Linked DNA regions of Caenorhabditis elegans. The protein of the gene in region 1 purifies or fractionates together with the protein of each later gene. This does not show direct contact. Each region holds a gene or a part of one and is shown in the gene's direction. Other genes may lie near its edges. The genes, in order: ZK1098.11 and F53B2.8.

The links.
Region 2: the proteins of ZK1098.11 (region 1) and F53B2.8 fractionate together in Caenorhabditis elegans (co-fractionation; one large-scale study listed by BioGRID). This does not show direct contact.

Annotation. Positions count from the first base shown.
Region 1 is NC_003281.10:9,554,738-9,558,163, forward strand, and holds ZK1098.11 (Protein NATD1), read left to right. Parts: upstream 1-1,862; 5' UTR 1,863-1,863; coding exon 1,864-1,918; exon of another isoform or gene 1,919-2,390; coding exon 2,391-2,638; 3' UTR 2,639-2,717; downstream 2,718-3,426. Other genes in the region: unc-16 (JNK-interacting protein), read left to right, coding at 32-99, 385-533, 591-876, 927-1,226, 1,273-1,379; C48B4.6 (uncharacterized protein), read right to left, coding at 2,824-2,969, 3,015-3,095, 3,143-3,275.
Region 2 is NC_003282.8:12,525,623-12,529,364, reverse strand, and holds F53B2.8 (Coiled-coil domain-containing protein 86), read left to right. Parts: upstream 1-1,968; 5' UTR 1,969-2,145; coding exon 2,146-2,167; intron 2,168-2,214; coding exon 2,215-2,295; intron 2,296-2,514; coding exon 2,515-2,966; 3' UTR 2,967-3,134; downstream 3,135-3,742. Other genes in the region: F53B2.5 (Importin subunit alpha), read left to right, coding at 1-67, 386-619, 662-802.

The DNA of each region.
Region 1 (3,426 bases):
GATACCCATTTCAAAATAAAAATTGTTACAGACACTATAAAAGCCGTATCTTTGCTGCTCTTGCCAATGGAACAATTGCCATATTCCATAGAAATAAACGTAGGTTCTATACATTTTGTGCAAAAAATTGAGAAAAAATTTTAAGCTCAAGACGTAAGTACTATTCAAAATATAAGGATAGATAGTTTTTGAAAAAAAAAAATTATAAAACGCATATTTTTCTAAAGAACATTTGCAAAATACAAAAATCTCTCAATGTATGTGTCAAAATAAAACTAAAACCCAATTTTTCGTCTAATTTCCAAAAAAACAAAACCAAAAAAATCCACAACCCTGTTCATAATAAAATGAATGAATCGATGATAATATTTAATTAAAATTCAGACGGTGAATGGTCCGACGAAGGATATCATTCTCTACGTGTTGGAAGTGCCACGTCATCAGTCCGATCCTTGTGCCTTGTCTCTACAAACATTTGGGCGACCTACAAGAATTGTGTAGTTGTTCTTGACGCTGAAAGTCTCCAAATCGTGGTGCGTTTCTTCGAGAAGTATATCCCTCAATTCCGTTCCTAAAATTTAAATTTCCAGAAAGTATTCGCTGCTCATCCACGAAAAGACAGTCAAGTCCGTAACATGCAATGGGTTGGAGCCGGAGTATGGTTGTCGATTCGTCTCGATTCAACTCTCCGACTCTATCATGCACATACATATGAACACCTTCAAGATGTTGATATAGAACCATATGTGACAAAAATGCTTGGGACATCTAAACTTGATTTCTCATACATGCGAACAACGGCGCTTCTTGTCTCAAATCGAAGACTTTGGATTGGAACTGGAACTGGTGTTATCATTTCTGTGCCATTTTCTGGACGTGAGTGATTAAATTTCCCTAATCTTATGCCAACCAGTTTACTTTTCCAGAACTCGAAAAGAAGATCGAAACAAAAGATTCAAAACGTCCTGCGGGACCAGGTGGACTCGTCAGAGTTTATGGAGCAACTTCAGAAAACGCCACTAACGACGAAAAAACAAATGATGATTTCATTCCGTACTGCAACCTGGCACATGCTCAATTATCATTCCATGGTCATAAAGACAGTGTCAAGTTCTTCCTTGGAGTACCTGGAGCATCGAAGAACGGAGAAGATGAGTCGGCAGAAGTGACTCTACGTCGAATGTTGATCATGTCTGGTGGAGATGGATATATTGACTTTAGGATAGGTAATAAAATAGTTATACGGACTGTTAGAAATGTATACAATTTCAGGTGAAGAAAACGAACCGGAGCTGACAGGGCAATCAATTCGGCCACGTGATATGTCACATTTGATTATCTGGGAAGTCGATGCAGAACTTCCGATCCTCTCAAAATAATTCATTTCGCTTTTCAATGCGATCTCTTTTCTTCTTTTTTCTTCAACCTCAATGCTTTGCATAACCATTCGTTCTTCTTCATTTTGCATTTTGATTCGATTTCTTTTTCCAAAAGGCTTTTTCTCACCACTTTCCCTGTCTAGAATTCAATTCAATTAAAAGTTTTAATGCATCCAAAATTCATGTAAATTGTACATTTTCCTACGAAATGTCTAATATTCGGTTGCTCCCTCCGTCTCCTCTCTTGTCATCCCTCACCCTCCCACTTCTAACGCATTCTAGTCTCTTTTTCCAAACTTTTTCTGTGAATATTCGTGCTTTTGTCTTGTCGAATTTTTTTTCTTTATTTTTCATTACTTTTACAAAAATTTGAATGAAAGTCGCCTCAAGAACTAATATTGCCTGAGAGTACCGTATTCAATCAGACTGCAAATATTTCTACTCTTGAAAAAAGTAGATTTTAAACAGAAAAAATCAATTTAGAATGGCGTTCCGTGTCGAACACTGCAAAAAAGCTATGGAGTTTTTCATTAAATTCAGTAAGTTTTTTGAGAATTATGAATTTTCCCAGGCGCGACAAATTGTCCAAAAAATACGGTACCAGGTCTCGCAAGGACAATTTTTTTGTTAAATTCAAAAAGGTGTGCGCCTTTAAAAGGTACTGTAATTTCAAACCCTCGTTTACGCGGAATTTTCTTAAATTTCCAATTTTTCTCTAGATTTGTTTAAATTGTGTTGTTATAGTTATATTCGATTTTTTATGATGTATTTTTTTATAGAAAAACTATGAAAAATTACACTGCAACCATAATTAAGAACTACAGTACTCTTTAAAGGCGCACACCTTTTTGCATTTAACAAAAATTTGTCGTCACAAGACCAGGCACCGTATTTCTGGTGCAAAAATCGCAAAATTTCACGCCTGGGTTATAACTGTTCGAAAAACCCATCTGTAAAAAGTTTTTATGCTGAAAATTGTGATCCCTTTTCAAATTTGTTAATTTCTTTTAGATACCGGCTCGAAAGCCTATCTGGAATACGCAGAGCTTCCAAATCGCGTGCTCGATTTTCAACATACCGTAACCCCAGAAGACCAACAAGGAAAGGGAGTCGCCAAAATTCTCGTCAAGGAAGGACTCAAATACGCCGCCGACAACAAGTATCTCGTCCAGCCAACCTGCTGGTACGTAGCAAAATATCTTGATGGAAGTAGTGCAACTGAAGAGGAGAAGCAACTCGATATTCGCCACAAGCTGTGAATATTCGAATTTTAAATGTTTCGATTGTGAAGATTTGTGCCTGTATTGTAAGGGTTGTAATTAATAAAGTTATTTTGAGAACAAGTTTTTTAATAAAACAACAAAACAAGCAGTTGAGCTAGAGCTCTTCGGGATGAACAACGAGAGAACAAAAAAACAAGGTAACAAATTGTGGCACTAGGGGCTCAGAGCATTGGGTAAACATTGCAATTATTCGATGGATTAACCGCGGCAACAAGCTTTGGCTTGATCGAATAAACCTGTGGGAGAACTGGTTTCTTTTCGAGAGCTTCGATGAACAGGAAGCACACGACAATGTATCCAATGTAGTCTGAAAATTAATATTCTCATGAATTACTGAATAACAAACTCTTACATAGGGAGAACATGATGGAACATCCAAACTTATGAAAATCGCGGAAAACGAGAATGTGATAGTCATCGAAGATGAGGATTCCTGAAATTGGAGCATTTTGAAGAAATTCGTATTAATAAGCTTCTTACCAAACTCAACACCCTGCATGACCATATAAGCAATCGGAATGATGGTCAGAAGAGTCATGTAACCGACATGGAGCATGATGAGAGGCTTGTGCTCAATGAGGAACACGATGAACGAAAATCCGGTGTGAATTGTCTGAAAGAATGAACAATGAAGCTTGAATCTATTGTTTACGACAACTCTAGAAAAAGAAACTTCACGCCTGTTAAATTGCACCATGTTGGCCCAACTTTTTTCCCTGAAAATTTGTGCTAAAATGTAGAAAACCACTTAATTTAATTGAACA
Region 2 (3,742 bases), on another chromosome or scaffold:
TGATCCAGATGCTTTCTATGAATGGGTGATGGCTGGGATTCATACTGGAGACAAACGCTTGAGAAAGGTAAGCTGATATAAAATTATATGAACAGTATTTTATTTATTAGACATGCACCACCATTGTTTTACATTGACAGGGCATATATCTCGATTCACTTCCGTTTTATCAAAAAATTGTCAACTGAAGAAATACGTGCAAAATGTTTTTCTACGTTTTGATAGTGAAATTGTTTGATAACACTTGAGACAGTCAAGATATGAGCCGTCAAAGTGAATTAATGAGGGTGCAAGTACAATAGAGACAATACTGTAGTTAGCTTTGAACACATCTTTTGAAACAAAATTTATTTTCGAGCTTAGAAATTATCTATGGTTATTTCAGGAATGTCTGTGGATTATTGGAAATCTATTGGCAACTGCAGATGAGCATCAAACGTATCTTCTCGTCTCCTTAGGAATAGTACAGCATTTTCCAGCTCTTCTCGATTTTGATGATGTTCGTTTGAATGAAAAGGCGGCGACAACTGCAACTGAACTGCTCCGTGAGCATCCATGGCAGTACACATTGTTCCAACGTTTGGATATTTTGGGATGTATTGAGAGAGCTGGAGCAAACGTTAGTTGAATATCCTTAGACTTAACAATCCGTGTGTTTCAGTTTTCGATTCAAAAAGCCGAACTGAAATCTTTGATGAATGACTTGGCGCCACCTGAACGGAAAGATGAAGATATTGCCAAAGGATGTTCTGTGATTTGCTACAGCAAGCTCTCAGACGACTTTCACAGCATGAGCATTTGAATTTACTCGTTTGAAAATAAAAATACGAATTTTGATTGTGTAGGTTTAAAATATCAACCCATCAATCAGCAGAAAATGTTGTCTAATTACGTTTCTGTGATATTTAAAATTACTTGAACATTTCCAATACACCTGTTTTTATTTGTTCACTCGAATTCCAATCAGATTACTGACAGATTACTGGCTCTTCAACTGCGATTTTTCTACCGGTTTGTGTACTCTTTTTGGACAATTAGATGTTATGTGCACTTCCTGAACAGGTGCATAAACAATTGATGAGATGATGATGAATAGATGGATTAGGAATGGGGGAAAGAGGATTTTAAATGTTTTTGGAACATAGGGGGTAATTACCGGTAATTGATTTTTTCCAAATTTCTTCACTCCTAAAATATTTCAAGTTTTCAGGCAACAAAATGTGAGAAAAAGGATTTTTTTAAAGTTAAATATGATCAGTAAAGTGTCGGCTTCCATGATTTTTACAAATACACAATTATTATAACATCTCTTTTAGGTTTTTAGGTAGATTTGCATTAACTTTGCCAAAACTATTCGACTCTTCCAACTACAAAAATGTTTTCCAGTTTGAATTCAAATACCCGTCGTCCTTTTCTATTTGCCAATTTCCGGCGGCAATGTGATGGGATAGTGATATGACAATCTGTTACTCATTCCTTTTGGCGGTTTTTGTAAGGAACAAAAGCACTTTTTCTAGATTTGAATTTGAGTTGGGGAGATGTTGAACGACGACGATGAGCTGTTAGATGTTTTAAATCTTGAATTGTATAGTAATTCATAAGATTAAAAATCAGAAAACTTAAAAACTTAAATTTGAATATAAATATACCATAACTTTATGTCATCGATAAAAATTGGTCACACAGTAAAAACCGAGGGTTGCTGTACCTGGCAGTAGTCTGAAAAAATCAAATGTTAATGAAAATTTCGAATATTAAAAAATTTAAAACATTGCCTAAGTTAAAATTTTCGAAATGCTGAAATGCTTTGGGTGTAATATTTGTTAAGCATATTTCTAGTGAATTTTGTAGTTAAAAATTTCAACACTTTGATTTCGCAATCCCGTCACCCATCTTTTCCCTCTGGGTCTCACGATTTCCCCATACTTTCCAATAATCTTTCCTGTCAACATTCCCATTTCACATGACATTTTCAATTTTAATACTACCTTACTCATAGTCAACATCACTATTTCAGAATTCCACACTTATAAACATTATTGATGATAAAAACTCTTTGATAAGAAATTGATACAAAAACCCTCCTCAGTGCCTGCAATTTCAGTGGTTACTTGTACTGCTAAAATCAATTGCTTTGAACTGAAAATGCCAATGGGCAAGAAGTTGTGTAAGTTTTTAAAGTCGAGAAAAATTTGAAAATGCTCAAATTTACAGTGGGAAAGCTTAAGAGAAATAAGGTGGAGGAGCCACAGGTGGAGCCGGAGGAGGATTTGGGAGATGCTATGAGTACGCAAGGTTAGTAAGGAATTACATTTGACTTTTAGTGTTGAGCGTCGATTGTAGTGTTCGGAAAATTTTAGTTCACTGAACGGTATAGCAAATACGCAAATTTGACGCGAAAACTTTATAAACAACAGATTTGACGAGCAAATTATCGTAATAAATCTATGTGATAAGTCTAGTTTACGTTTGGCAGATTATATTACATACTCGAATGAGATTCGCAAATTTCAGAAAAAGATGACGTGAAAGTTGGGAAGAAAAGAGCCCCGAAGAATAACATGGGTGGAAAGAAACGACTGAGATCCAAGCTGGGAAATGTTGGGAAACACCAGAAAAGGGTACGCTCCAAGGAAAACACTCCGGAAAGAAAGCTGGAAAAATTGGAGAAACTCGAACTTCAACTGACCTTAAAACGAAGTCGAGAGGAGCAGAAACGAGCCAAAAAAGATAAGAAACTGGAGAGAAAAGCACTGAAGATTCAAAAAAAGTTGGAAGCTTTGAGAAGCATCAAGGAAAAACCACATCAAGGCTCTGAAGCACAAGGGCCAAAAGTCCCCAGAGCCAGAAAGATCCGGGTACCAGCCCCAAGACCACCCCGTCTTCCATATTTGGCTCTAGTCGCCAATCTTCATAAGGCTCCGAAAGCATTGCGTGATATGAGAGCTGCTGCTTCACGCCGTTAGTGTGGGCTTTGGATCATTTGGAAGAAAAAAAAATTGTTAAGTGGAAAATTAATAAGAAGAATATGAATCTGGATGTCAAATTTAATTTGTGGACGTTTTGAATTTTTCACTTTGAAGTTTTTATTTGTTAATAAAAAATGTTTGATTCAAAATTTACAAATTTCAAATCAGCATACCAAAATCTTCGAAATGTAATCATGATTCATGAGAGGTCTCGCCATGAAAACTAATGGTTATGGTAGATTTTTTCAATCTTATTCGAAATTTCAATTTGAAACTTGATCTTCAAAGTGAGACCACATTTCCCACTAACGTTTTTTATCTGCTCACTATCAGATCAAATTTAAGATTCAGAAAACTTGCTAGCTACAGTAACCGACACGTTTTGTAGTGAGACCCGATCTGCTTCGTAAAAATTCACATCTGCCTTGTAAGGAGACCTACACCTGATTCCTGCCTACAAAACGTGCCTATAGACTTGCAAAATTATTTCCGATCCTTTAATTGTTTGCAAAAATTCAGATGCCTAGGCAGTAGGCAAGCTTGTAGGCAGGCAAGAATACAGTAGGAGGAAACGTGCTTGCCTACTGGAATTTGGGAAATTTCTTCATAATCCGGTAAATTAAATTTTAAGGAGAATTCAGACTGTTCCCACAGCAATTTAAATCCACTTCCCTTTCCAAATTTCTGTGTCTCACTCCACTTTTGTTATAATTTTACGAATTTTTATTGCTTCCCCTTTTCCTAATTTACAGTATTCCTTGTTATCGAAAATA